Linked DNA regions of Mytilus edulis. Each later gene encodes a partner of the first gene's protein in a complex. Links are inferred from orthologs where the notes say so. Each region holds a gene or a part of one and is shown in the gene's direction. Other genes may lie near its edges.

Region 1 (7,988 bases):
TAAAATATAAAGATGCATAAAGTAAAACAGAGCCTTCACATGGATTTCACAATTCATAGAATTTGTACAAATACATGTAAATAATTCTGTCTTCAACGACTACTGCTATATTTGCAATTTGATGATCATTTGTGTGACATATTAACAGTGAAAAAAAGTTAAAGGGACAAGACTTCCATTTGAACCCCCTTACAAGTGTATTCTGTGCATGCTTATTCCATGAAATAGGGGTTCATTTTTAAAGAAGTCTTTGACTTTTCACAAAAAACAACTTTAGTCTTACCTTATCATTTAGGCATTGTATCAAAATAACAAAAACAAATATACCTGGAAGTGTTTTTTGTATTTCGAGATGACAACATTTGAAGAAACTTAATAAACTTTAAAAACTCAGTGAAACAAAAAATTAATGATACATCTAATATCATATAATTATATAAATTTCCATTGAAAAGGTTTTTGATTTACCTGTGTAGAAGAAAATCAATAACATCAAACCTTTTTTCTACATGTTACTTATAAGGAACATGAAATTCTAGTTTGTAAACATGTAAACATTACATTTTTTGTATATTAACTGCTGGCACTCATTGTAGTTTATTGTGTTAACATTGCAAAACATCATGTCTTTGTTATGCTTCTTTTATTTGGATGATGTTAGTTTATAAACCAATTAAGAATTGAACTAAGTGTTGAGTGCAGAAAAAGTTGAAATTAACGTACATGTACATGTATGCAAGCCATAAAAGTGGAAGTGAAAAGTATAAAAGTATTTAAATGTGTCTGATGTTGTGAAAAAGTGTTCATTCAATCAGACATAGTTTTATAATAAAATACTTTTAAATTATGTCCTGTAAAGGTTTATTTTCAATAAGAGGACATCACAGTCTGCACCAAAAACTTTTTCAACTACTAGTCTGAAGATCAATATTCTGACATTTTTCATATTAGTTCAAACAAAGTTTTGCAAAAACTTACTAGTCCGAATGAAATTTTAATAGTTTGGGGCATCGAACTAGAGGCTAACAGTGCAGACTGCATCATCTTATGGTGTTTTATATACATGTATCTCAACTAGTTCAATTCACTTGTGTATATGTAACTGTGTATATGATTACAGTTGTATAACGAAAGAAATCTCTGTATTACTTGAAAATTATTACACCAGGATTTTTCGATATCACAAACTAGTCAAAATATTTAATAGATTTTACCATCAATACAACATTGTACAAGGATATCATTCCTAAACATAAATAAACATGCAGACATCTCATACATTCAGGTATTTCACATCCAATCTTTTAAGGTTATATTCTTTATAAAGCACAAAAATGTCTGCATTCACCTCAAAGGCTAGCCAAACCTTTAAACAGACTTATTCAGAACATGCAGGAGGGATATTGTTATGATACTGTTTTCAGGTCATTAATGATGGCATATATTGGTATTAATTTTGATTGACTCGTAAGGTCTTTGCATTGGAAATATGGAGGAACAGGAGAGATTGTACTTGATTTTCATATAAAGAAGACTTATTTGATAATCTTTCAATCAGTTTAATTGTGGTCTGGAGCAGGCATGAAAGTAACTGCTAGTAGTCCTTTGATAAGAGGACAGCATCTAATGGTCCTTTGATAATTTATGTATCATTGTCATTTTGCTGTGTTTCTTTTGTTACCTTTTCTGACATTGGCTCAGACTTCTTTTAAACTGACTTTTACTATGCATAATCATGATAATGTTGTGCGATTCTTTATTCTACATTTGCTAGAGGTATAGCAGAGGGTTGAGATCTCACAAAACATGTTTAACCCCACTGCATTTTTGCGCCTGGCTAAAGTCATGGACATGAGTCTCTGGCCTTTGTTATTCTTGTATACATGTATGTTTTTTTCAAATTTTAGTTCATTTATATGTTTTGAAGTTTAGTATGACATCCATTTTCACTAAACTAGTACACATCTTTCTTAAGAGGCCAGCTGATGCCCACTCAGGATGCAGGATTTTCACACTGTGCTGAAGACCCATAGTTAGACTTTGGCTGTTATCTGCTCTTTGGTAGGGTTGTTGTCTCTTTGACATATTCCCCATTTCAATTCTCAATTTTACAACATGTACATGTAGTTATGAACTAACTAGGAATGTAGCACTTGGATTCTAAGAAATATGGTTTAATACCAGGCCTGGATTTGGACAAGGGCAAACTCTAGTCTAAGTGGTACAAACTAATCTGCATAGATCTACATTGTTCATGTACATGCTCAGGGGCCGGTATCATAAATGTGTTTGGGCAGAAATATGTGCCAGTCCACTGGTATGCGTTATACATTGTGTTAATAGCACTATTAACACAATGTATTATGCATACCAATTGACTGGTATACATGTATTATTTGGCTTTTAATGTCGATCCAGCCCTTTGTCTATCTGTCACAAGTTTTAGCAATCATAATCTTGATTGAATTGATTGATTATACAACTGGTGTTACTATAGTTCACGATTAAAACAAACCAGTTATAAATAGAATAATGATTTTATTTAAACAAGTCATTATAATCATTACATTGAATTCAATTGAAAAACAGTACCAATTACACTTAACTGGTTTCAACTTAATATACATCATGTACATGTAATCCATCTGAATATTACTCCAAGGATTAGGCATACTAACTTCACTTGTCATCAAGCATTGATACTTTTTACATAAATCCATATGGGGTCTCACTAATTAGCGACAAGAAGTGTCAAGAAGCGATAAGAAGCGACAAGAAGCTATTTAGCGACAAGAAAACATTTTTTTTTATTAAATATAAAAAAATATTCATTTAGTCATTTTTAATATATACGGGCAGAAATAAATTGATAATTTTTTGTTATTATATTGATAGATGAAGAAATGAACATTTGTGAGGAAGGGATTGTGTAGTTTTTAATTATATGGGGACGAAGTACCCTACATGTATTACAGTAGAAAATTCAATAAAAAAAAAATTTCATTGTACTAATGAACTCAAAATCGTTCAATTTTTTTTGTCGCGTTTTTTAATTTCCAGATCTGCGCAGAAAGCATAACTCTACTTCCTTCTTCTGGTCTTGTTGTCGTGAGACTTTGATTAGTCTAGTAAAATATAGGAACTCAATACCAATATTTCATTTTTAATCATTCTTTGTCTTTGGTATGCATAAACGTTACCTGATGCATTGTGTTTCCCATGTTTACATTGAACATGACGTCATACATGTAACTTAAATAATGTCACAAGTAAAATCCTTAACAACAGAACCAAAATCGGAAACGTTACCATGCTGAATGCCTATATGACAAAATGAGAGAAAATCTAAGGAAATTCAGCTACATGTAATTACAATATGATAATTTAGTTACTTTTGCTTAAGTCATTATATGAAAAGTCCATTCAGGGTTATGGTTACGGTATTTCCCTTTCTTTTTTTTAACAAATATTAAGTTACAAACAAATTAATTTAAACAAACTTCGTCCCCATCAACAGGTAATGCCTGCCTCATATTATTGATAGATGAAGAAATTAAACATTTATAAGAGCAAAGGAAATGCACACGCTATAAAATGAAAATAAAAACAAAGATTTTTCACCTTTCCTTTGAAGGATTTATTGAAACAATTACATGGAATATTATTTCCTTTCTAACTGTACAATTCATTGTCCTGATAGGACCAACGTTAGCTGTGGCTTCACCGAAGGTAATACACGATGTAGAACTTCAAATGAGATTAACGAGGCGCGTGTCCTTTGTTTTATTGCTACAATAACATCCAATTAACACAATATCATGTAAATAAATGTAGCAACTGAATTAAAAATGTAGATCTATGTCTATTTTTTATTTCTACCAATATTAACTTTCTTGTCCTTAAAATTGTTTTCATTTAAATATTCTTTTAATATTTATTTGGAATAAGTAATTTTAATAAAAAAAAATGTTTTCTTGTCGCTAATATTATTCTTCTTGTCACTAATTAGTACATATGTAACTAAATCCTCTGAAGTTAATATGGATTATTAATATTTTTATTATGGGTCCGTATCGACTTGGGGCCTGATCAACCCTTCACCTATATTCCAGACCCAAAATATCTGTTACACAACCTTTCTTCAGACAATGTTGAAAATTGAATGTAAGTCAAGTGTTGTGATTGCCAAGTTAGTGATATTGTTGCAGATAATGAAAAAATACTCACCTTCCCATATAAACTACAGCTCCTTTACAGGATATATAGAAAACAACTGTCAGTGTCAAAAGTGGTAGAAGGTGGTCTGGTGGATTCGGTCTGGTTAAATGTTACGCACGATCTGTTATGCTTCCTCTGTTATTGTCTTTATCCAAAAATCAGAAAGTAAAATATAATGCTTATTCTAAAAATTTGCATTTCTGGTTTTAGATGTTGCATTAAAACATAGTTTTAAATATAGTTTGACATGTCAACGTGGTTACTCTTCCAAGCCGGAAGTAAACATTAACGTAAGTGTCTTTTGCTTTATTTTTATTTATTTTTAAAAAAAATTTAGAAAAACAATTTTATTATTATTTGTTCTGACCAATTTGTGTTAAATTACTCTTAATACATATATCAATAGTTTGTTTCATATGATTAAGTTTTGTTCTTCGGGTTTCCCATTTGCGACAACTAACAATCGTCATTTCTAATGTTTACTTCCGGACACATGTCAAAGTTATTTTCGTTTTGATCACAGCTGGATTTTGTTGTTTTGCTTCATGGCTGCTGAAGACATCCAAGTTAGAATTTGTCTCCAAGAAATAGTAAAGTTAGATTTAGAGATCAAAGCTTGTATTCAGGTAAAGGTTTATTCTGGTCACATCTTACCTTACCAGGAAATCTTTCTCCGTCCACTTCGGGACAACCTCATTTGAGTAGTCAATATTCCACCACCACATCTATGTACACTATTTTACACACATTATCGGTAATTATATAATACACTTGAGTACGGAGATATCAATGTTTCATATTATCCTCCATGCATCACTGAATTAGCAATGTTTAAAATAATTTCCACATTATACGAGTATATACAGTTCACTATTTGACAGGTATGCTCTCGGCACAACAACAGTATAAATACGGGAGTACCGATGTTCGGAACATGTTATAAGTTCATAACAATGAAATATCCTCATTTCCTTTTAATATCTAAAGATCGGTATCTTGCTATATGTAACGCATACACATTTGCCTGCATATTGCATCTAATTTAACAATATTTTCACTATTTCCTTTAAGTCCAGTATAGTACAACGTACAGTCCAGAATTATTTGGATTTTATCATGACTGGAAAGTGTTCTAAGGTTGTCTTTCGATATTAAATGTAATATTTCATCGATCTGGTGAAAATATTTTTGTCGGATAGGTTCTAGAATTTGACAGTCCAACAGGAAGTGACAGAGAGTTTCATCGCCTTGATCACATAATTTACAGATCGGAGTTTCGTTTTCTGTATATCTAAATCTTTTATTCTGTAATATATAAGTGCCAGTTACTAATTTTAATTTAATTGCCAGTCTTGTTGTTTCTCTGGTCGGATCGTTAGTTGTATTTATGTCCAAAAGATGGTGAAATTCCCCAGGATTGTATGCGTCTATATTAAGATGTCGAAGAGACATATAGCTTTTTCCGGATGAAATTATTGCTTCTTTCCAGTATTTATAAACGGCAATTTGGACAGTTCTCTTCCATTGAAACTTTTTTGGCGCACAGTTTAGAAGTTGTAACGGAGATGGTAGTCCATATTTAAATATCATTTTCTTAATTGAAATAAACCAGCTGTTGCTCGATTGATCTTTGACGGTTAATTGTCTAATAGCCAATTTCTTTTCTAAATTTGAGTTGTCTTGCCTACATATGTTATTAAATAATATTAGCGCTTTTTGGTCGATTTGTGCTTCTATAGGTAAGAATCCGGATAGGATGTAAATACTCGGATCTGGTGTACATATCGGTAAAGACATAATTCTCTTAAGCAACTGTTTTTGGAACTTTTCTAATTTTAGTAGATTTGATGAAGTAGGTAATATAACTTCTAAGCCGTATGTAAGAATAGGTTGTATAAAGGTTTTGATTAGATGTAGTGAGGTAATCGGATCAAGTCCATTCTCACCATGCAGTCCTGCTGACATGAGACTGTAGGCGGCTCTCCTAGATTTAGTAATGTTCTGGTCAGTGGTTTCATTTTGAGAGTTTTTTGAAGATGTTGATCTAAGAATTCCTAGATGAGGTGATTTGTCAACGATTGGCATAGGATTTTCGTTCAAAGTTAAATTGACTGATTTAGACTGTTTCTTGCGGTTAGATGGTTCTATTTGTAAGACAACACTTTTTTGAGGCTGTAGTAGATAGTGATGGTTTTGACTATATTCAGCAGCTATATTTATGAGAAGTTGTAGTTCTGCTGGATTTTCGCTCATCAAGGCAACATCGTCCGCACAGGCTATTGCATTAACAGAGGTTTCTCCAATTGTGCATCCCTGTGCAACATTTTCAAAATTATGAAGTAAATCTTCAATATATATTTTATACAGATCTGCACTGAGAAGACCTCCCTGTTTAACTCCCTGTTGGACTGGAAACTTTTCTGAATAATCATTTGCCCATTTGACGCATGCTTCTGTGTTTTTATGTATTTCATCAATTAATATCCAAGTAGCTGGATTGACATCGGTGAAGTGTACTTTCCGTAGTAGAATTTTTAAGACCACAACATCTAAGGCAGATTTCGCATCCAGTAAAGCTATAAGAAATGGTGATTTCTTGTCCATATTTTTCTCTATATACTTCTTCTACTATAATTGCTGCATACAGTGGTGAAGCATTTGCAGTGAAGCCTCTCTGTAGTACTGACTGTAGATTGAGAGAATGTTTTCTTAGATCATCACGTAGTATGTACTCAATTATTTTTAATAGTATTGGTAAAACAACTATACCACGGTAGTTCTTGGAGTAAGATTTGTCTCCTTTGTTTTTGTAAACTGGTGATAATAGACCAATCTTTATAAAATAAGGAATCAGCCTTTTTTGAAACATAGTATTTAATAAGTCAAATATTGTTAAGCAACAAATAATTGACCAGAATAAAAAAGTCGCAAATATTGACTCCTATAAGTCGATAAGTGATCAAAATTGGTTAACTTCAAGACCCACGCATATTTATAAGGAGGTCATGCATCTAAATCAAATAATGACAACAGTGAAAGACAATGCTTTGTCTTCTAAAGAAAAATATGAATGAGAGTCTAAAAAATCGGAGATAATGTTAATTAACCTTACAATGCAACCACCTGGAACTACACTTAATGAGGAAAAACATCTGTGTTTAGTAAGGATGTTCAATTAGACAATTACATATAGATAGCTCAAGTCCTTGTGAACTCTCAGACAGGTTTTTGCTGTCATATGTTGTGTAGTTTGGCCACCAAGTGAAATTAAGTTTTTTCATCAACATAAATAGACCTAAACAAGTCTGTCATTTTATGACTTACATGTAGATAAGTCTAAAATTGAAAACACATTTTTATGATAAATACATGTTTTGACTTCTTTATTGTCAAAAACAAAAATCGACTTGTTTATGTCTGAGCTCTGACTGACTAGAAGAAAAATAGCTCTTTCATAAAGCCATCTTTGAAAGAGTTGCTATACCTATTCCAATGCACATTATAAAACCAAGAAGAACTTCGAGACTCCATCAACCGAACACTAAAAGATATGTACAAATCAGGCCAAACAAAGATATCTACAAATACAGCTTTTTCCCTAGGACCATCAGAAACTGGAATAAACTACCAGATGAACTATCAGAAATTGAGAGCAGTGAGGAATTCAAGACCAAACTCACCAAGCTCCTCTGTAGTGGCTAAGCAACACAAACAATAGATACTAGTAGAAAATGTTTTTAACCTGCACCTGTATATAAATTTTTAGCACA
Region 2 (8,090 bases), on another chromosome or scaffold:
ATCTAAAAATTAGCATTGGCTGTTCCAGCCCCCCTTTTTTGTGGGGAACATTTGTTGATTATATAGGTGACCACAGAAGCATGTCTGTAGGGGGCTCCTATTATGGCAGTCAGTGCCTCCTTTTCTATTTCAAATTTGTGATCATTCATTTTGAGTTACATATAAATGAAAAGTCTGGAAAACCAAATTCAGCAAGTTTGCAAAAGTTGTGAACAAAATTAGTACGATGTTATAATCATATTTACCTGTGGAAGATAAAAGCGGGTGTTAGAAATGGAAAACAAAGGTTTCGTCATCAAAAAATTCTTCCTGGACCCCATTGCCCCCTGATATCAAATAGCGACCCTTTATATTTTATAACTAAACAAACTTACACTTTATACGATATTTTTTGTTTCATATACTGTATCTAAGGGGAAAAATACAATACCATTTTATTATTGCAGGTAAAGTCTTGGTTCACTGTTCAGGCGGAGTCCGAAAATCGCCCGCAATGGCAATTGCCTATCTCATGCTAAAGGAACAGTTGCCTATCTGGAATGCCGTAAAGTGTATCAGAAGATGTCGTAAAGTGTGTCCTAGCAACGGTCTCATTATGCAATTGTGTATTCTGAATAAAGAAATATTTGACAAAGTTACGCACAAATAGATAACATATACAATGTATATTGGAAGAAAACATACAAAACATATGGCTGCATTTACATTTTACTTTAGTGCGCATGCAGGCATGCAGTATGGTAAAAAGAACAGTTCAATACATTGCCATTGCATACCTAAACGTTTGGAGTTCTTGTTCAAACAAGTCGTTTGGGCAGGTACATATAATATACATGTATGTATTACATGTCTCTAGTTTGAGAATGTAGAACATAAGATTTTATTCTTATGTATGAATTAGTTGTGCTACTATTTGTATAAGCTACCTCAATTTTATGTGACACTATTTTAATTGGAGTTTGACCAAAACATACTTGTTGCTTTAAGTATGTAAATAAATAAAAATATGACTCAAACGCATGTGTTTCATAGTATAATAAGCCATATATATATATATATATATATATATATATATATACTTAAGAATTATGGTCGATGGTCTTATTATTGATTTATTAGATGTCTATAGGTACAGGAGCAGCTTTTGTAAAATTACTACCAACGAACATGTATACAATCATTTGTGTATCAAATGTATGTTTTATAAACAATTGTTAAAGAAATTCATTCCATATTTCCTGAGTGTAATATATGATAGACAATTTTAGTTGATTGATTGGTTGGTTGGTTTGTTGGTTATAAAATGTTTGCAATGTATCAAGTGACAAGTTCTTTATATCGAGTGGTTGGAACCGCTGTATTGGTCGATTTGTTGTTACGTTTAATGGTTGATGGATTGAATTTATAAATATTGACTGTTTTCTAGGTTAAAAATACGCATATTTTATATTGTCTATTTATTGATTAATGATTTATGTACGTGACGTCCAGTGAAAAATAGTTGACGATTTTTTTTTTACTCGGAGAAATAGGCAAGGTGTTTTCCTCATGAATAAGAGAAATAGGACGGCGACAACTTCCTCGATTCAATGAATAGGCGAAAATCTAAAATTCAATGCTATTTTCAGATTCACACCAACACGTAAATAACAAATACGAAAGTTCTGATACGGGTTCGATATAAATTGCAATTAAAAACATACACTACAAATAAATTGTAAAGTCTGATGAGTTTAGAAAAGGGAATACAATGTATAAAACAAGATTCAATGATATTTCATGACGAGTGTTAAGCCTAGCATGTCCAAATGCAATTTATGATATTCAAACTAAATTTGGTGTTTGCGCATGGCCTGGGAGAGATAGATTTTCTCTATTATTTGTAGTTGCCATTTTATGGACTTTCATAAAACATTTTGACCTTTTTAGCATTGTTTATAGCCTGGTTGAACGGAATATTAGCGTAATACAGTTAAAGCATAATTTTATTTATCTATCATAACATAATAGTAAAGATTACAGGCAAAAAACGGAAAAAAAATTATATAAAAACAAACCGTCATTCAAGGACATAATTCCTATCAGGAGTTGATTAAGATTTCGACTAAGTGATAACCAAAAGTTCCAAGTGGTGAAGTTATAAAGTCATGCCCACGAAAAAATAACAGACACCATCACGAGTTGGATGACCAATATGGCATATCAGTTTCACAGACCGACAACGAATATGTTCCGATCATCGTAAACACAACCCCGGTCTCATTTTCCATCAATGTAAATACCCAATTAGACTTATCATGCGTAGATATTGAACTTAGAGCAACATGACTGGAACTACATGTAGAGAAAGATCAGTTTATTCTTCCGGAGAACCTGCGATCACCCCGGTTTTAGTGGGTGTTAGTGGTGCTCATTCTTTAGATTCATCGATTCTGCGTTTTGTGTGCTGCTGTAATGAGACTGATGTGGTGTGATTGCCAATGAGACAACTATCATAAAAAGTTTAAATAAAGTAAAATGAGCAACTATGTGCAAATGTACGGGCTTCATCAATGAGAAAAACCCTTACCTTAATGTATTGCTATAAAGATCCCGACAGAAAATAAAATTAATTTGGAACAATTCAATTTAGAAATCTTAGTTTATTTTCGACTTGATATCGATCACTACTCTTCTTTTTTTTAGCCTTGCTGAACAGATGATTAGCTCAAAACAGTGAAAGCATAATTTTCTTTATCCATCATATCATAATACAATTATTAAGATAACGTACAAGCCATCATATTACAATTATTAAAATATCAGACAAAAAAAATGAGAAAATTTTTGAAAAAAAACGTAATTCAAGACTCAATTCGACAATGTGTTAACCAATAGTTCCAAATGGTGAAGTTAAAGTCATGCCTACAAAAAAATTACGAAGATCATAATGAGTTGGATGACCGTTATGGAGTATCTGTTTCACAGATGACGAACACCATGAACACTGAATATGCAAAACACAGAACAGCGCTAAGATAACTCGAAAGGCAGGATTTAAACGTGCATGCTTCGATGGTCTTAGCCAGAGTGTAATTATGTCTCCATTCATTGAAAAATCGCAGATCTCAGAAAGAAAAAAATCCGAACAGATCTTAGAATCATATTCAAAACAGTGTGGCTGTGGACATTGATTGACGACCTAAATTATCCCATTGACTAGGACAGATTAGGTGAACGTTTGTCTGTAACGACCACTGCTCACTACTTGCTTATTATAGAATTTAAACTGTGGGATCACCAAAGGTTCTTAAAGTTTTTAATATTAAAATAATTCGAAAAATTAACCAGAAATAACCTTTATGTTTTGATTTATATTATTGATATAAATCAAAACATCGTGTTATTCCTGATTAGCTTTTCGAATTACTTTATTCAGGCATTGAGAACCTTTGGTGACCCCACAGTTTAAGTGTCTTTAACAAGTACACAGTGAGCAGTGGTCGTTACAGACAAACGTTCACATAATCTGTCCCAGTCAATGGGATAATTTAGGTCGTCAATCAATAGTCACAGCCACACTGTTTTGAATATGATTCTATTTAAATTATTGATATCAGAGGTATCTTTTTTTGAGATACCAGATCAATCGCCAACCATTCTAACATTTGCAAAGAAAGAAAAATGGATATGAAAATTTCACAAGATAATGAATGTAAGCATTGTCATTCAGATAAATCGCCAATAAAATTGTGTTCAGTACAAAACATTATGGACCCTTAACTTAAATATTCCAATTTATTATTCTATTTTAGATCAAAACTACCGTAAACTGTATGTAAGGACATAGTTAATTATATTGGCTTCATTAGCTGGTAAAGTTAAGATAACGCCTTAATTCCTCCTGAGAATCTGAGACTGTTTTAACACAGTAGTCTCAGCTTCCTCATATTATAAATAAAACTTTTAAGGACCCGTCAGCTGAGTGTCCGATTGAGGGCTCTTTTTCTTGTTATTTAAGGAGATTATGTTTCATATTTCTTTTTGATTATAAATCTAATGAAAAAGATCTTAAATAAACGAAAAGTGCAAAACTCGTCAGCAATTAAGTACCCTCTTGGTAAATAGTCAGTTTACTGAGTAAAACTTTATACCGTGAATGCCAATCGGTTATATGACAGTCTTCACTATACCTACACAATAATTTATATTTTATTTGCGATCTTGTTTTTATAGGGGGAAATGTGGTCCATCTTTAGAATAAAGGTGTATAAAACATGTAAAAGGCATATAAAAACACACTGTAATATTTGGTGTCTAATCAATGTTATTCTTTTCCGGAAATTTTTCAACCTTTTATCCGAGAACGGATAAAGTATTAAAAATGAAAAAGTTATGTCATTGAAACGTTTTATTAATCGCAATCTATCACTCTTTGTTTAGAATAATTTTTGACATTGTACAAATGTTTTGCTGGAGATTTTGACACATCAACACTCCGAAAAAAAAATGACAGATAACAGGAACAACCGGAATGGTAATAGTTATCTGCGTCTCTGTCTGTATCTGTATGGTTACGTCGTAGCTACCAATTCTGGCTTTAATACAACGGGGTGAAGGCGCCGTCGATTTACTGACGTCTCGTGAGAGCAGCTTTAAAGCTCTCAACGCTCGTTTCGCGCACAATAGTGTACCCATAGTTATCTGCGTCATTTTTTTTATTTCGTTTCTTCAATCAAAACATTGTGACTTGGATTGAGAGTTGTCTTATTGTCATTCATACCACATCTTCCTATATCATGTACATGTATGCTGAGACTACTATAGCATTTGTATCACACAGTGTTATAGTAGTCTCAGATGTATGTATCCAGATCATGTTTGCATGAAAGTGTTAAAGCCTGATATGTCATAATTGTCTATAACCCTTACTCTAAGAGGGCGGTTAAGAGTTATTTCGTACAACGTTTTCCGCCTTTTTATTTGTGTTTTGATGTTTTATTTCCCGTTTACTCATGTTTGGTTTCGTGTGCGTGCTAATGTTCCCCCAATACACCATATCACTATTCCTGGCTGGCCCTTAGAATCTGTACTACTTAAACTATTGACGTCACACAACAATCACTTTTCCATTGTGGAGTCGGATATTTTGTATTATGGCGTCAAAATTTTACAGGAACCTGTGTGATGACATGTAATGGCGGACAAAACAAATACATGTAACTACATGTATAAGATCTATAAGGTGTATTCATATCATACTATTATGACCATTACATTTGGGACCCATTGAAGAAAAATATAATTACAGAATAACTAATCGAAGAATTCAAGTGGAGAAAAATATTCAACAGGTGACTGAACAACTGTAATTCACAAATGAGTGTAGCGCATGAGTTAATTATCAATGTTGTTCCGTCAAGAGTTGAATATTTTTCCGATATTTGAATTCTTTTATTAGTTAAATAGATACACATGTAACTCTATAGCATGTACCAGGTCATTACAGATAATACCTTTCTGAATTTACAAAAAATGATCATGTACTCATCAAAGTGAGAGGGTTAGCGCTATAAAACCAGGTTTAATCCACCATTTTCTACATTTTCTACATTTAAAAATGCCTGTACCAAGTCAGAAATATGACAGTTCTTGTACATTCGGTTTTGATGCGTTTTGTCATTTGATTTTGCAATGTGATTATCATGATTATGGACTTTTCAAATTGATTTTCCTCTATAGCTAAGTTTTGTATTTTTGTGATTTTACTTTTTGCATATGGTTTCTTCATTCAGATGATTCTAAAATTTGTACAAGCTTTTAGAAATGTATATACTTGCACTATGTATAAAATGATGTACATGTATGTTTATTATGGTTTTATTTCTAAATTTTTAATTTCTCTTTGATAACTAGATTTAAGGAAATTTTGATATCTTTCTTAAATCATGTAAATAGTATTATTAATATAGCTTAACAAATGCTTGGAAAGTAAATTTAATATGTATTTCAGGCAATCAATTTTTATAAATTTCCTTTGTATTTTACTACAGTTACTCATATAAAATGGTAGTATACAAAAAAATGAGTTAACTCTCCTAATAAATATATAAGTCTAGACATTGCTAGAGTGCCTGCCAAGAAATAAATATATTTCAAAAAGTATTTCTACATGTACAAATGTAGGTATACCCTTGATTAATAATGGGGTAGAATGGAATACATACATTCATGTAGATTTAGAAACCATTTTAACTAGGCCATAAAAAAGAATAGGTGTGTTTGCCCTAACCCTACCTACATGTACCCAGAAAATAGCTGCCTTCTCATAATCTTTTATTGTCCTGATGTGAAAATATTTTTTCATTCTGATAGCCATGAAGAATTATAAACATCTGATAAATTCTCTTTTCCAAAAAAAAAAGAAAATGCCTACCTACATGTTTGGGTAGGGTTTGGGCAAACCAAAATAATTGTGGCCCTAGGCAATGACATGTAATTTTTTTTAAATTGACCATATACTTTTACATTTCAGGATTGTCTAGATCAGAAGAAATGCTTGATTCTGAAAACCAAAGACGAGTTGATGGATTATCAGACAAAGTATCAAGACTGAAATCAGTATGTGCTAACCTGACTTAATACAGAATACTGTAAATTCAGAAATTATTGCAATGTTTTCATTATTGCGAAAAATTGGACAGTGTTATACATGTACATGTTATAATTGCAATAATTCAAACTTCAAATTCAAATTTCTGAATTTACTGTAACTTGTGCAAGGTGCATGAATCTAATATCTGTTCTAAAATATCATATTTTTGTCATTGTTGAAGATAGCTTTACAATTGAAGTTTAACCTTCCTCACTCCAAATAATTGTAGTTGAATCAACTAAATTCAATTCTTTATAAAATGTAATATTTAATTTCGCTTCCCACTGATAAATTTAAGCAATTTGTACCCATCAGTGCATACAAGCACTTAATTATTGAATGAAACTGATAATATATATAGCAAGCAAGTAAAGCAAAACTGGAAGATTATATGCATAACATGATAAAAAAATATGTTTTTCAAACAGAGGAGTTGTAGGCCCTCTAATCTGTTACTGATTCAATTTTTATATACCGGTAGTTCTCTTTCATAATTTTACTATTTTCAGCTTGCGTTTGATATAGAAACAGAATCAAAAGACTCTAACAGATACTTGGATGACATGGTAGGTTCTAAATCTTCTGGGGCGGATCCAGCCATTTTAAAAAAATGCTACAACTGCTGGAACCCCAAATCTGGATCTCCAACTAATCTTCTTGTTTTCTCACAATTTTTATCATGTTGATTAAAAACGTCATTTTGTCTTTTGCTGTTAAAATAAAAATAAGAAGATGGGATATGATTGCCAATGAGACAACTCTCCTACAGAGACAAAATGACATGGAAGTGTACGGCCTTCAACAATGAGCAAAACCCACAATACCACATAGCAAGCAATAGACTGGCATTGTTTTCTCTAGTAGAAAGATGATAAATTTCCATAATCTAAAACCATGTTGTTATATCTTTTATTTTCTTACTAGTATTTTGTTTTAGAATTTTTCATCATTGAACCACTACTAGCATATTGGTATGCAGTTATATTAGCCTTGCTCATTTCCTAACAGATTATTTAGCCCTGCACCTTCAGTCATGATTTATTGACTTTAGATGTCTTGCATAGACTACATGTTAAAAGTATTGCAGCCATTTTGATATCAACAATTGCATTTTACTACATATATGTATCAAAATTACATTTTAAAAGGCAAGACATATATCTGTGTCAACAATTTATTGCATAAATATTTGTTGCATATTTTATTTTTACCAAGTTTAATATTGGTTAAGCCTAACCATGTGCTTATCAACCTTCTGTTGTCCTATCAATGTGAGGCCAAATAAAAAAGTATGTGTGGTTCAAGTTGCATCTAAAAAAAAGTTAGGGTAGGTAGGCATGGTAGGTAGGGATTTTTTTTTTATTTTATGTTTTTTTTTTACATTGAATCTATGGGAGCAACATTCTGACTTTAACAGTGCTTAATGAAAAATGACAATAAAATCTTTAGGGTAGGC
Region 3 (8,087 bases), on another chromosome or scaffold:
AAGAATTATAAATGAATATCATAAGACTGTTCACGTTATGACATCACAATACCTTTCAAATTCTTAATAAAACTCTTTAAAGGATTTTTTTCCCTATTCTGCCAATGCTTGATTGGTCTAAACTACACACAATCAGGAGGTAAAAAATCAAAGTTTTTATGAAAATGTTAGAGTTATCATTCTTTGACTACTGAAAGGGGTAAATTTTAACAACACAAAATTTCAACACAACTTGGTGAAAAATGCAAGTCAGTGTCAGGTTTTTTGCTTACCAAGCAGAGTTGGAGAATTAAAAAATAACTAAACATGGCCTATTTATACCTAAACACTTACTTATATTTCTAAAATCTGGTTTTTCTACTGATGGTGAAATTGACAAGGTTCTATTGGTTGGTCCCATGGCTCCTGCAACATACCTCTGTACACCTGAAATAAAAAAAGTGGAAATTTTTTTTCTTAAATGCTCTGGCAATTTTTAGATATAAAGAAAGCCAATGTATACATAAATATACATGTATGTTAAACATTTTCAACAATATAAATTAAATTTAATTACAAATTTAGATAAACAAAACCTGAATTTAAATTATAAGGAGAGGAAAGTCTGAGTATAACCTAGACTGAATCCCCCTAGTTTATCTGGAATTTAATGATAAATATTCTACTGTTACCTGTGGCTGCTGTGACATCATTAGCAGCTCTCTTTGCTAGTTTTGCTGACTCATGATTTAGTCTGTATACCTAAAACATATCAAAAGTAAATGCTGAGTGGTTAAATTTTTGCAACTGTATTAATCTTATTTTTGGAACCAACATTAAACAAGACCAGATAAAATGCCAAATACACTAACCTTCTTCTAAAATCTAATTCAAATTCAGGATCTAACAATGTGATTTTTAATGAAATAGGAAATGCAATTTCTTTTTTGTTACACTGATTTCTTTCCATATAAATTTTACCATTTCAAATAACATAGGCTTTTTTCTTCATAACTCATTTAATAACTGCAAATGTAACAGAAATATGTAAACAAAGACAATAAACTTTTCAAAATATTTTAACCAGGGCTTACTTGTGCCATGGAACATACACCAAAATCATTAGAATACATCTCACAAGCAGTAAGTTAAGAGAAACGTTTATACAAGCAGAAATGCTGTTGTGCTAAACAATATTTTAATTCTGTGCAGTTTTTGTGTCCTTTAAGAATGTTCAATAAGATCTCATTATCAGTGTGTATGTATGTGAATTAGCTTATAAATCGGGAAAATAGTAAGTTATTTCATACCATATGTTCTAAACCATAATCTGCTTGTGCAATGGTGGTACCACTGAATGTGTTTGTCTCAACGAAATCAGCTCCTGCTTCAAAATAATCCTGAAATGTAAAGTATCAAATGTAATTTAATTCTATATTCATTCTTGCGATTCTGAAGACTAAATTTAATAAAAGTATCTGAATAAACAACTGTATCATTAGTCCTTGAGTAACATGATATGCCCATCTGCATCTTATTCTATATGTTACCATAAAACATCCATAAATCAGAAAATAAAATGAAACATGCATAGCATCATCTTATATCTGTATAAGATTAAAAAAAAAGCCAGGTAGCCTTTGTTGTAAGTTTTCCATAGAAATAAATGTGCCAAAATCGGATTGTTGTGATGTACATTCTTTAGTAAGGTACAGGAGCAAAATCATCACTATTTTTGTTTCTTCTTTAAAACAGTATATAACCAATCTGTATCAAGTCAATGCTTTCATCAAGTTTCCAAAGAAAATAATTGTTTAAGTTATTGAATGTCGTTTATAATTACAAAATGTTGTTTCACTAGGTTAAATAAAAAATTGCAGATGACAAAAGCAAGTGTTGAAAACACCCTAGTGAATTGATGTCGAGAAATGTGAGGTGATCATGATGAACTAAGGAAAGCAACTTCTTAACCATAGTCACCTAGCAGCCTGAGCCCTGTACATGTACCTACATGTACTAAAACTGTATCTGATCTAATCAAGCTATTAGCATGATTAGCATCAACTTAAATAACATTCAGTAATTTACAAATTATACCTTATGAATTTTATAAATAATGTCTGGTTTGGTCAAACTAAGCAAATCATTGTTTCCTTTCAAACTTTTGGGATGATCAACAAATGCAGTACCCCTGAAATCCTCTTCCTCAAACCGTTGCTGCTGAATCATGGTTCCCATTCCGCCATCAAATATCATTATTCTTTCTAACAATGTCTTCTCTATAGAGTTTTTCACTAAAAACATAAATAAGAGGGTCATACAGTGGGAACCTTCATGATGAATAATGGATAAAAATCTTACCAATGACTTTAACGGTAATTAAAGGTGCAGGAAGATAAAATGTGCATTCTCTTTGTCAATAAAAAATCACGATAATTTCTTTCCAAAGTAAAGGTATCGGATAGTTATTTGGGACCTCTCATGACTTATGATGAGGCTTTTTTGATAATTCACAATAAAATGGTAACAAATTTGATGCTAATGGTAGCCCAAAATGATTTTGACGCCTGACAGTAAAGGTCATTGCCTTCCCTCATATAATTACAGTATACGCCTGACAGTAAAGGGCATTGCCTTCCCTCATATAATTACAGTATAATCAGTAAATCAATCTGTCAACATTTGTGTCTATAAGGCCAACTAAAATCAATTAGTAGATTTTCATCCAAATTTATGAAAAAAATGGGGTGGGTGGGAGAATTTTATTTTTTAAATTTTATTTCATATGAAACCCTCTTGTGATGTGTTCTTCATATACATGATATATATGCAAGTGTAATAAAACTTATATCATGTATGTACATGCATAAGGTTCCATATATAATTTTTCAATAAATATCTCTGATTGGCAACCACTGTTCTACATGTAATTGCCGCTTTAAAAACCTATTTTACATGTTTTATAGTAAATAGCAAAAACGTACAGAAATGCTCTCTTCAATTGCAATCCCCACACAAAATTTTTTTTGTTGCTTTCTAAGCATTGGTACATGTGTAGTCCCAATGAAATGAAGCAAATGCATTTGTATGCAACACAAGTATTATATGTATAGAATAAAATGAAAAATAAGTATAGAATAAAATGAAATATAAGTATAGAATAAAATGAAATATAAGTATAGAATAAAATGAAAAATAAGTATAGAATAAAATGAAATATAAGTATAGAATAAAATGAAAACTCAAACAGTGTTGAAATAATAGGGTTGGTCCTTATGCAAGATGCAAATATAGTTACAATATAAAACATGAAGTTGTTTAATAACTCTATCGAGGGTATTTGGACAGAGGATATTTGCTGTTTGTCAACAAAAGACGACAGCCATGGGTAATTCTAAATCTAAGGGCTTGCTATAAATGAGTATAAATTACTAAAATGCGTATGTTTGTCAACTTTTTTATCTCAATATACGATCATCAATTTAACAAGTTCATGCTTGTGTCAATTTCTTTATTCCAGTCTAGGTTTTTGTACCAATGTGTTTCACGCTTTGGGTATCATTCACAGGCCAAATATCCTGACACAAAGTCATTGTATAAATAAACTAAAAATCAAAGGTGTTCTAATCACAAACATTTGTGACATACCGCGATTTGTGTTTTTGGACAAAGCATATTAATCGTAACCCAAATAGTTCATGCACATCTCTATAACAATCTCTATTTTCGGTAGATGATGTTGTCATCATAGAGTAGAAGAATATGTTGACTTAATCATTAGTAAGATAACTCTAAGAAACGAGAAAAGGAAAACCGCAATTTGAAACAGGAAGTTTTGAATGAAATGAAATTATAGATGGTTACCGGTAACAAAAATTAATAAATCCGGAAATCCTAATATTTGCAAATTATAAAAAACCGGGGCAGGAAGATTTCAGAGGGGCGGGCGGGGATGAAAATCTATCAATTAATTTTAATTGTTAAAATGTTAAAATTATCAACATACAGTTACTCATTAAACATATTATAACAGTGAATCCCATGCCAATCATGTTTTTTTTTAAGTGAAAAATCCTCATGATTTAAGGTTTGAAACCCTTTGGCTCTTCCAAAAGTTACTTTTCTCAACTACTTTCTAGAATTATGATATAATGGGGAAGGAAATATTGATTTAGACATGCAATTTTGTACTTACATAAGAGGAAAAATCAGTCATAACTATTTTCTCAACATGCAGATTCATAATGTATGAAATATTGGCCACTCGCACTCCAAAATGCAGACGAATTTTGTAAGGGAGATAACTCAACACACATCAGCTGTTCTGATGTTTCATAATTTTTTTCTAAATATTCTAAGCAAGTACAAACCATTTAAATAAATTTCCTGGCTGTTTGCGGCTGGAGGCATTTTTGTAGTGTGTCTGACTGTCTTGTTGTCTTTAGATTGGTTGGGAAATTGTGTTTTCTGGGACAGTCGTCTTTTCACGTCCGAACAGTCCGCGGTTAGACAACCAAATGCCGGATAGACTTACCCACAATGCATTCTAACAGTTGCGCTTGCGTCAGGAAAGCGGAAATTACGTCTATTTTGAGTCGTGGTGGAAAGAAACATAAGAAACAGGAGTCACTTTCTGTTTATTTCAAGTATTATTGTAACTAGAACCACTTTTACTATATGATATTTAAATAGTTTAATCCCAACAAGTCTATTCCCACTTGATTATTTTTTTCAAATTAGTTCTGGTCACTGTTTTGATACTATTTGACAGCTGTCATTCACCTCAACTCATGAACTGTCATTTCATGATTTCACTGATTTCAGGATTTATGTAAAGTTGGTTAGGTATTTCATTTTATATTTAATATTTATTTTGAAATAAGACCAAATAGCAGTGCTTCACAAGATAGCAATACAGTGTTGAACATCTACATGCATCATAATTTTGACACATCATTTTCTTCCAGACTCTCAGTCATACATGTGACAGAGTTGTCAAGCCACAACTGGAGATTTGGAAATTTTCAGCTGGAGTTTGGGCCTCATAACTGGAGATTTTTTATCGACCTTTTTATAGACATACGCAAGATTTTTTCTTGCATGTTTAAACTGCATATGGGTCGTTTTAAAAAAATGTCGAATTTTCAGTACACCCATGCTAACTTTTTTATTTCTAATGGAAATTTCAGTTGTAATGGTTTAAATGAAAGCTTGTCGGATTTGTGATTCAGAACATTAATAATAAACACACCTTACATCTATTTTGATAAGATTAAACTGCAATTAAGACCCATTTTGGGGGTATTTGTCTGCGTACAGTGTCAGAAAAACACATTTCAAATGATTTTTTTGCGATTTTCTGATCGCCTTGATATCTGCAAAAGGGACTTTTTAAGAACGTTTAATATTACTCTAACGAAAAATCGTAGCTTCTATATCATTGTATGTAACATATTATCTACAAACTAAATTGAATCTGCGTACAGGAGGTTCATGTCTTTCCTGTTACCGCTACTTAAATCAGCCGTGAAATTATTCTCCCTATGAATATTGAATCAGTCAGTGTTGATCTCAAAAGTGCAAAGTAATCTTTACATTTAAAACGCCTCGTTTCTTGAACGAAAGTGTAGAGAAAAGAAATTTCAAGACATTTAGTGAAAAAAATATAGCGTACTTTTTTTCATGTCTATGCTGTTACCACCAATTTTGATTAAATACACCAACAGTATACTTGTAAAAAGTGCAATAACGTGTTGGAAACCAAATTCACAATAGAAAAACATAATCACTTCACCAAAGGGAGTAGTTATTTCACAACAGCAATCAAAAACGAAGAAATTTGTCTATCCTGTTATGTCTATCCTGTTACTATGGTTGCTATGGTTACAGTAACAGGATAGACAATTGTAGACAAAAACGTCGTTAATTTTTTTATCTTAACATATAGGTGCAAAACGAATGAAATATTTCGTTGTTTGAAGTCATCTTAAGGTTATAACGTATTAATCTTCCCAATTAAGCATTCGCAGGTGCAATACTGATATCGGTAACAGGATAGACTTTTATATAGTAATATATCAGAAACGTACGTTCCTGTTACCAATGAAATATAGAGAAAAGTAAACTAACTTATGAGGGATTTACTTGATGTTGGGTTTATTTGAAAGGGTGAAAAAATGCCGAACAATATAAATTGCTATCTTAGACTTGCATTACTGGTGGTAATTTTTACAACCTTTGAAAACCAATTTTTAGAGGCATTTTTCAGTACAACCTGTTAAATTGGCAAATAATCTATTATATTACAGAATGAATATATATAGACGTTTATTCTCTTGAAAACCATCTAATTGTCTACGTAAAACAAGCTTAACATTTTATCTAAACCTTTTCTTAATAACCCAAAATTTCTTTTGAAAATGGTAACAGGATAGACAAAATAATGTACCACCGATCAAAAAATGTTTCAACATATTTTTGTATGACATCATTAAGATTGCATCTTTTAATATGTTGTTCTTAAAGTACTGTTTGTTTTGATTTGCTTATGTAGAGGGTTGTTTGAATAAGTAACTTTTAATAATTTTTTCAATTTCAAAATTCGGCATTTTTTGAAAATGACCCATATCTTCCTTTTTTGTTAAAACACAACAATGATTCCATACCTACAAGCACCTACATAGCCATTTTAACTTAGTAAAATAGAAGATAAGGGGGATTCAAATATTTACTCATCATAATTTTATATAGTTCAAGATAAAGTGATCAGCCATCATACATAGTTGGCAAAAAGTATATCTGCTTTAGCCACATTGTCAACTTTTGTACCACTACTGAACATGTTTGTAACAGAAGGTGTTGAATTGATAAAGTTGTGGGCTATCTGGTTGGTGGCTGTCTCCATATTTTTGGTCAAGTAATTAGGGCCACCATAGTCAGCTTTGCATGAAGTGTAGTAAGCATGATCTTAATTTGGCTAGATATATACTGTGTCTTCTTTTATTTGATGCTGGGGCAAAAGTATTTGGTGATAACATACAGTTTGCATTTGTCAAATTATAAGACAAACACACTTATTTAGGTATTGGACCAGATAGAAGACATATCATATTTGAGTTGATTTTATTGTCTTTGAGGTTCAGTATAAACTAAATCTGTTCCATGTTTTCAACAGCATCAAAATTTATTAAAGTCGATGTTGATACAACTGTTCCATTGTCAGTATCACTTTTAATCATCCAGACATGTTTATTTAAATATTTAGTTGATTACTAGGTAAATGCCAATCATCTTTTATTGTTGTATATACAGTCTAATCCTTAACACCTTCACTGATTACTCGAGGCTATTTTCCTATTTACCTTTTTGACACAAATTCCATTACAGGAAACTTCCGATTTTCTCGGACTTTTCCCATATCAATTTAGAGTTTCTCGGACTTATTCCCTGTCTGTATTAATTTTGTAAACAGAAATGTCTACTGAAATTTTTTCGAGATTGACATTTTCAAAAAGCGGAAGATTTCAAATTTTAACGGGAGGGACGGAAGAGGGTCTGAAAAGCGGGAGATTTTAACTCCCGCCGGAAGAATCACATGTATGCTCAGTATCATGAACCTGTGAGGCTGTGTGTCAGTGGACTCGCCTTCAAAAATCCTATGTGTAAACCCAGAGTGCAGACACTAGTTCTCAATGCCAAGTTTTTGTGTTCTCATTGTGGTGGAGTGGGAATTAAGTTAAAAAATTACTCTTGACCCTCTACATCAAAAAATTGATTTCTAATCTCCATGTTTAATTTGCCTAACCAAATGTTATGGAACTTTAAACATAATGCTTGTAAATAACCATAAAACTCAGATCAAGTTCTAATTTGGGTGGTGTCACTATTACAGTCATGACAGTTCTCTAGTTATGTCCCCTTGTTATGTTGTATGCATGCAGGGTATCATCTGTGTCCTATGGACGGAGCCTATGGATAAATTCTGCATTTAAGGGGAAAAATAGGAGTTGCTTTTCTGGTGGGGGTGTCAACAATTATTCATTTTTCTGTTTATGTCAGTTTGATAAAACTACTTGTGATAGATCAATGATATATTCTGTAAAGTTGCC
Region 4 (8,175 bases), on another chromosome or scaffold:
ACCTCATTTTCATGGTTCAGTGGTTATAGTTAAATTTTTGTGTTTTGGTCTGTTTTTCTCATACCATATGCCATAGGTCTACTATATTTGTTGTATGGAATGATTGTTAAGTGTACATGTCTAGCGGGCAGATGTCATGTGACCTTGACCTCATTTTCATGGTTCAGTGGTCAAAGTTAAGTTTTTGAGTTTTGGTCTTGTTATCTAATGCTATATGCCATAGGTCAACTATATTTGGTGTATGGAAATATTTTATGATCTTTATGTCAGTCGAGCAGGTTTTATTTAACCGTGACCTCATTTTCACGGTTCATTGCACAGTGTTAATTTTTTGTTTTGGTCTATTTTTCTTAAACTATAAGTAATGTGTCAACTATATATGTTGTATAGAAGCATTGTTAGCTGTACCTGTCTGCCTGGCATGGTTCATCTGACCTGGACCTCTTTTTCAAGGTTCATTGGTCTTTGTTTAGTTATCTTGGTTAATGTTAAGTTCATGTGACAGTTGTAATAAAGCTTAGCTTTATACTTAGGACCATCAACATAATATCAATGATTAGTATAGAAGGCGAGACATTTCAGCGTGTGCACTCTTGTAAAAAGAAACCATTATAGGGCAAACTATGGTCTTCAACACAGAGCCTTGTCTCAACCAAACAGAAAGCAGTAAAGGGCCCCTAAAATGACAGCGTAAAACCATTCAAACAGGAAAAGCAACGGTCTAATCTATATAAAAAAAGAGAAACAGGAAACACTTATGAACCACAACAAACGACAGCCACTGAACATGTGGAGTTGATTTCACAAAAAAACTTACGACTAAGATTGATCGTAAGTATACTGATTTGTTCATGACCTAAGACAAATCTTAGTTGTAAGTTTTTAGGTGAAATCGACTCCATGTTTCTGACTTAGAACTGGTGCAAGTTTATCAGGAGATTTCAAGAATTTTATGTTAAATGCAGATGAAAAGAATACAAGAATGCTAATACAACACGCTGGTGATTTGCTGATACTTTCCAGTTTTAATAAGTCTTGTGTATATAGGACAAGATCAAAATATCAATGAATCCATTTGATAGATCTATTTAATTTTGTTGACTTGAATGATGAGAAGTGTGAGTAAGAACTGTTGTGAGGGTGACACAGTAATGTGTGAGGCACCAGTGTAAACATCCCATTTTCAAGATGATATGGCTGCACATTCAAATGTCAAAGTGAATGAGTGGCTTCAGTTCATTAGTGGTTTAAGTACATCAACAACTTTATCACTGGCCTGTCAACATTGAGGTTGTGAGTTGCCACCCTACCTGGTGGCAGGTGCGTTTAATTCCATTCTTGCACTCTGGCTTCCTTCAATAAAACCTGACTACCACAAAATAGCCAAATATGTTGAAAGTGGCATTAAACACTAACAACAACAATTAATTAAAATAAAGGGCTGTCAATAAGGATTTAAATGTCAATGAGAAAGCTTAGTTCTATTATATGATTTTCTTAACCATATTTCACACATTTGGTATCAAAATTCCAAAAATATAAATCTAATAGGAATTTTAAAAGGGGAAGGGAAAGGATAATCTAGTTAAACATCTTAGCTCAAAACTCAAGCCTGCATCAACTAATCCTTAGATTTTTTTTAGGTCTCATCTATGAAAGTAGAGGGACATAATATTATTCTTTCTGGTCTGTCTTGATGTTTTGGTCACACAAATTCAGTACACATGTTTATTGTGATGTTACTTTTTATAGAATATATGCAAAATTATGATATTTACTCACATTTTCAGAATCACTAGATAAAGAGAATAGATAGTATATAAAAGGCATGGTATCCTATGGATGCATATTGTTGTTCCATTATGCTATGATTCCTAAAATGGGCACAATTTGTATTACTGTGTCATTGGTCTAGCTGAGAAGGGTTGCCGTTACTCCTTTCCCTTATGTTAACAATTAAATGCTATAAATACAGAACATCAAAACCTTTTTTATAACTTGTAGAAAATAACAGTATTTACAGATTGTGAGGTTGTCATAAAACTGCACGAGATTCTGTTAGAAAATTTGTCAAACATATGCAAGTCTTCTTACTTCCAAGGGTTTGTGTTGTCAGAAGCATGGCACAACTGCCTCATTAGATGTTTTACACCCAAACAAATCCAGAGAAAGAAGGGAAAAGTGTTTACATTTTCCATTATATAGTTTAAAGATGGTGATTTTAATCATTGACTTCTTTATACCCTGTGGCTAAATTTCTGTCCCTATCCAATACAGTTCATTTTCAGTGAAGTCTCAAATTTCCTTACCCACTCTATTGCAGGAGCTCAATTGCATGACCTAACTATTGCATCTATGTATTTTTTAAACGTTGGAAAATCATGAAATATTTGTCACTGGACGTAAAGCAAACAACAATCAATCAATATTCCTTAGTCTAAGCACAAAGACAGATTGCTAACCTTTTAGCAAAGATTTGTAGGGTGCAAGATTGAAGAAGACAATGTCTGATGGTTTTGGACAAAAAGACAACTTAAGAGGCTCCAAGGGCCTATGGTTGCTCACACAGCTCTATATGCATCCTCAACAATGCACATTGTAGACTGGAAAAGAACACATGACAAAAATCTTCGTTTATGTTGATGTAGTGCTGATAATTTATTTTCTGTTTACAGTTTCTCTCTATCTTCTTTATTGTATTGCCAAATTCACAAAAAGAGTAAGAAAAATCATCATTAAATCATTGTCACTCCTATAAAAAGGCTACGATTTCAGTAAAATTTGACTAGTTTGTAAATCTGGTCTTGTTAATTGATAATTTTATGTAAAGTTTCTATATATATCTTTTTGAAATTTCATTAATTAGGCAAAAATCTTTATGCTGGCTGAGACTACTATAACACAGTTATAGTAGTCTCAGATGCTGGTAATCTTTGCTATTTATTAAACTTGTCTATAGATCTATCCTAATAGTTTTCTCGATGAAAGAAAGATCACTTAAAATGGCCATGGGTTAATTCGTCATTCAGCCCTGTTGATTTGTCTTTCTATAATGAGCTTAATCATTTTTGTCTCGCCTGCGACGAAAGTCTCAGAAGGCTAGACATAGAAGTTGCTTTACCTGCATTGATGGAACTTCCTATCAAACTGTCTCCGAACTCTATGTGATAGATCGATAGTTTGTATGAAGTTTGACGACTATTTTGAGGCGCTGTCCCTAGGTCATGGTCAAGTGACTGGATTAATTAGCAATTTCCAATGTTAAGTTTTCTGCTTATGTTAAAATTGAAAATGACAAATTACAAAGTAATGGACCTAGTCCTAGTTTAGTTTAGTTTAGTTTAGTTTAGTTTAGTTTAGTTTAGTTTAGTTTAGAAAAAAGGCTGAAAAATTAAAGAACTAAAAAAAGGAAGGACCACATCAAGATCCTGCTCATATCTGTACATTTTATTTTAATATGCATTCAACCGTTTTGTATTTTTTTACCAGCTAATACTGCAAGATGATTCTCGGCACTTTGTTCATGAGCGTAGCCTAAATACAAGCGGATTCCTGTTTATTTAAATAACTCATTTATTTCCTTTGACCAGGCTTTGAAGAAGACATTTTCGAAGGAAGAACTAAGGTTTACTTTCGACCTCATTTAGCCCATTTCATCATGTCAGGCATTGTCATTACTCAAAACCATTAAATGTCTTCTGAATCAATTTCGTCTTTAAATTCTAATGATACTGAGAAGATCCTTTACTAATTTTCAGTTTTTGTGGACAAAGGAACATAAATACATTGTGGAACCTTACAAATAGTACAATGTATATGCATGCATGTTCTTAGATACCATCTCCCATATCCAAATCACATCATGCAGAAATCAGTGGCGGATCCAGAACTTTTTATAAGTTAAATTCTCCCTCGCCCTGCTCGTCCGAATTTAAAGTATTTAATTTCTAATTCAATAGGCTATAAACAAGACAAACACAGATATAGGATTAGTTGCTCGCAGTAACATCTTATTTTCTCTTGCGATACAATATTTTATTTTACTGAATTGTACATATTTCTTCAATCGAAACATTATATAAACACATGACATATAACATTGTTCCTCTTTCGCATCGTTTCTTTTCCCCCGGCTAATGCCTCCAACGCCTGTACGTACAATAAACATAGCAGCAACTGCACATATACCTATGTGACCAACTTCAATCCGACGTAACTGCGAGCACCTTCGATACTAATACATTTAAATCCCAAACTTTATATAGTACCTTTAAACCCCACCCATAAAAACCGCCAAAACTTTCCTCGTGCCTCCTGCACCTAACATCAAACATATAAATAGTACATACTGTTACAAAACCAGTATCCGAACTAGTTATACTAGTTCCCATCTGTAAATATTAACTACAAATAGCAAACGGGAAAAACCCTATTTCAAACGAAATAAAATACATGTACCACTGACAGCCATAAAAGTTTCCCACGGTCAGTCATGATTTGTGATTCCCTGTATAATCAACCATATTTTCCACTCGAAAGGGCCGAGTAGCCCCCCCCCCCCCCCCCCCCCCCCTCCCAACCCCTGGCACCTGGATCTGCCTATGAAAATCAAGGATCTTACTATACAAAATTTAATTCTTGTGGAAATGTATCTAATGTGTTCCTCTCCTAGCTATCCAAAACCAATAAACGACGCTGCTAAATGGTTAGTGTCTGGTACAGGTAGGCCGTTATTATGCAACATATTTTAATAAAGAATCTTGTGGCAAGAACAAAGAACTCTTATTGTCAGAAAACACTGTCAAACATCTAAACATACTATCCACACTGATCTGTGTCCACACTTGTTAATTTATTTATATCCATCCCGAATTTTTTCAGTATTTAGAATGATCACATGACTGTCATGTCAAAATGTCTTCTGAAAAGTTTGAGTCACTCGAGGACGATTTGTCAAGTGTTTTGGATAGCATAAGAGACAGAGTCGAAGGGAAAATCCCAAATTTTGAGGGAGGTTGTAAATATATATTACTTATTGTTTTACAATTTCCTAATATCTATCTGAGACTACTAAATGCAGACATCACTGCATTCTGATATGTTGTAAAGTCCGAGACTGAGTCAGAGTTGGGTTCACAAAACTGTCAAAGGTCTACATAGTCCGAGATTACTCTGACGTCCAACGGCTGTTTTGCCAGACAAGTCCCACGGCCCCAGCTTGTCTGGCAAAACAGCCGTTGGACGTCAGAGTAATCTCGGACTACGGTCTACATAATACTTCTTAACTTCAATATGTTGAAGATTACAAAAAGGCACATACTAGGGGGTAGTAGTATTTAAATCTGAACATATTTACATATAAAAAAAAAGAAGTTTTTTTTGTTTTTTTTTTAAATATTTTATTTATATATTATAGATGATTTTGATCTAGCAATGTATTTGTGATTTTGCACCAAATTTAAATGCTTCTAAGTCTTTGCTACTTGGTGTAGCAAGAAATTCCACAACCTAATTGTTCTAGGGAAAAAATAAATATAAAATTATGCAAGACTACACGTATGTATGGGGACAATACACCTTATCGCTACATCTACATGGATAATCCGTAAAGAGTCAGTTGACTCATCACACGAATATGTCAAAATTAAAGTTGTGTCATCCAAAATGTGTTTTCTTTTAAAATCATATGTACAGGTGCTATTCCCCACTGACCTGAGAATCTATCTCGCTTGACCTGTTGAAGTCATACAACAATCACTTCTCCATTGTGGCATCAGATATTTTGTATTATCGCACCACAGGTAAATTAGCACATTGTGATTGGTATAACGCCGTCACCTGGTGACCCCTTAGGCCTATGGATCCGTAGGGGGTTAGTAAATTTCAAAGGGGGTTCGTGACGTCACGTCTACTGTTAATGGTGACTTCATCTATTAATGTTGATGTGTTTCATTGCTTATTTTTCTACAAAACGCAGCAGAAAAAGTCCAGCGTGCGACAAACCATATAACTTATTTCATGACATCAAAATTTTACGGAAACCTGTGTAATGTTCAGTAATGGTGGACAAATAGCGATAAGGTGTATAACAATCTCGTCCCACAATGCACCTTACAATTTACAGTAAATATAATGAAGTTACTGTTAAATCTATTTATAATATCTTACCTGTAGAAAGATTAAAAGAAGCAAACAATCAATTTCATTAAAATAAGGTCTTTTATCCAGGGATGGGGTAATTGAAAATGTAATGGTAATTAAGTGTAATGCATTACAATTTTCCATGTAATTGAAGGTAATGTGTAATTGAGCATTTTTTCAATTACTTGTAATGGTAATTTAATTAATTACAATGAAAAAAGCATGTAATGCTCAATTACTTTTGAATTACATTTCAATTACATGTACTTTTATGGTGTCTATGATAAGGATTTATGTTTAATAATATAAATTGTAAAATTATATTTATTTTTCAAATATTGATATCACATACTTTCTGTAATTTATTCTTAAGTTTTTATATTACTTATTTGACCAACAGAATTTTTTTTAAAGTTTTATCATCATTATAAAATTTCATTTGGCATTTGAATCGGGAAAATATTATGTTTTGGAACAATCGATCTGTACATAATAGCATATATATATATTGTATTGATTAAATATAGTTTTGACAATTATTTTTATTTTTCTCATGTTCTTATTTTTTGACAGAGGAGAAAAAAACAGCCATTCGCCATGCAGAAAGAAATATTGAAGAAGCAAACTTCATTGTAAGTGTAAACTGGTTAAAATATCTTGTCAATAATTTCCTGTTTACAGTGAATACTTCATCTACCATTTTGCTGCCACCATCAATAAACTGAATATATAGAAAGCAAAAGTTCAATGTTCAACTTGTAAATATGTTGATGTTTACAGTCTACAAATATTTTTTTCATCAAAATATTTATGAATGAAAAACACAAATGTTGACCAAAATAAATGAATACATAGTACATGAATTAATTGTGCAAAGTTTATGTAAACAGCAGAAAATATTGCCGTAGTTTGTTGTCAAGAAAAAAAAATATATAAAAAAGAAGATGTGGTATGATTGCCAATGAGACAACTCTCCACAAGAGACCAAAATGACACAGAAATTAAAAACTATAGGTCACCGTACGGCATTTAACAATGAGCCAAATAGTATATGATTTTAAAAGGATAATTAACATAGTTACAGCCGATTCCATTGAGTGTGTAGGCAAAGTCAATATGTTTGGTTAGCTTGCTTGCCAGCTGAACAGTGAAGTCATTATTTGGTCAGGTAAACTACCCTCCTTTAAAATTAGACTAGTCTGAAAGATTAACAATCTATCTGTCTGTAGGACTAGGCTACTTCAAAAGGAGTGTAGTATACCTTACCTAATAATGACTTCACAGTTCAACTAGCAAGCATGCTAACCAAAGATATTACCTTTGCCTACACACTCAATGGAACCGGCTGTTCTAGTTTTTTTTAATAAACTGAAGTATTTTTTCTAAAATTATTACAAAAAATTCTAAAAATCAAATATTCTAAAATTTCAGATGGGTGTGGATTAAATCATCAGAGTAAAAGATAAAACCAAAGTTTAATCCATATTTTTGGTATTACATTTCAGTTACAGGAAATGGAAAGTGAAGCAAAGATGGCTCCTATTTCTTACAGATCTCAACAAATATCCAGAATACGTAACTACAGACATGACTTAGATAATATAACAAAGAATCTGGTAAGTTCCAATTGATGGTAATAACAGTAAATAATACCTGGTGAGGATACAGAATTTGATGTTAGACATAATGGTGGGGGTGTACCTGAGAATGTTAAAGAAACTTAATTTGACACAAGATTGTCACTTAATAAACTATAAATTACATTTTTGAAGATGAATTTTGTGGCCTGGAAAGAGAATCAAACAGGTTTAGAAAAATTAAAATAAATATCATGTGGTTTTATAGCCATGCAAAAAAAATGAAATAATGACAAAGTTGTAAATGAAAATTCTGTCAGAAAAAATCCTCCTGGCCCTCTAGAATACCCTCCCCTAAAGTCAATGTACATGTCGTACAATATTATATCATATGCATAAAATCCCTGAAACTCAAACTGAGCATCTCATAGCATACTTTATCATATTTTGGATAGTC

Evidence for each region.
Region 2: vesicle transport protein SEC20-like (region 1) and BET1-like protein share a complex: the UniProt entries of both Homo sapiens proteins name them as parts of the SNARE complex. The link is inferred for Mytilus edulis from reciprocal best matches to the Homo sapiens genes BNIP1 and BET1L.
Region 3: vesicle transport protein SEC20-like (region 1) and syntaxin-5-like share a complex: the UniProt entries of both Homo sapiens proteins name them as parts of the SNARE complex. The link is inferred for Mytilus edulis from reciprocal best matches to the Homo sapiens genes BNIP1 and STX5.
Region 4: vesicle transport protein SEC20-like (region 1) and vesicle transport through interaction with t-SNAREs homolog 1B-like share a complex: the UniProt entries of both Homo sapiens proteins name them as parts of the SNARE complex. The link is inferred for Mytilus edulis from reciprocal best matches to the Homo sapiens genes BNIP1 and VTI1B.

What each region holds. Positions count from the first base shown.
Region 1 is NC_092347.1:13,288,776-13,296,763, forward strand, and holds the start of vesicle transport protein SEC20-like, read left to right. Parts: upstream 1-4,681; 5' UTR 4,682-4,763; coding exon 4,764-4,844; intron 4,845-7,988. Other genes in the region: ectonucleoside triphosphate diphosphohydrolase 7-like, read right to left, coding at 4,228-4,235. UniProt on the Homo sapiens protein: As part of a SNARE complex may be involved in endoplasmic reticulum membranes fusion and be required for the maintenance of endoplasmic reticulum organization. Also plays a role in apoptosis.
Region 2 is NC_092350.1:69,797,144-69,805,233, forward strand, and holds the start of BET1-like protein, read left to right. Parts: upstream 1-4,441; 5' UTR 4,442-4,488; coding exon 4,489-4,516; intron 4,517-6,514; coding exon 6,515-6,600; intron 6,601-7,143; coding exon 7,144-7,200; intron 7,201-8,090. Other genes in the region: dual specificity protein phosphatase 3-like, read left to right, coding at 447-649. UniProt on the Homo sapiens protein: Vesicle SNARE required for targeting and fusion of retrograde transport vesicles with the Golgi complex. Required for the integrity of the Golgi complex.
Region 3 is NC_092346.1:73,717,240-73,725,326, forward strand, and holds the start of syntaxin-5-like, read left to right. Parts: upstream 1-4,530; 5' UTR 4,531-4,633; intron 4,634-8,087. Other genes in the region: methionine synthase-like, read right to left, coding at 334-426, 672-741, 1,290-1,379, 2,077-2,273, 4,350-4,389. UniProt on the Homo sapiens protein: Mediates endoplasmic reticulum to Golgi transport.
Region 4 is NC_092346.1:5,321,201-5,329,375, reverse strand, and holds the start of vesicle transport through interaction with t-SNAREs homolog 1B-like, read left to right. Parts: upstream 1-4,878; 5' UTR 4,879-4,914; coding exon 4,915-5,014; intron 5,015-6,714; coding exon 6,715-6,773; intron 6,774-7,646; coding exon 7,647-7,757; intron 7,758-8,175. UniProt on the Homo sapiens protein: V-SNARE that mediates vesicle transport pathways through interactions with t-SNAREs on the target membrane. These interactions are proposed to mediate aspects of the specificity of vesicle trafficking and to promote fusion of the lipid bilayers.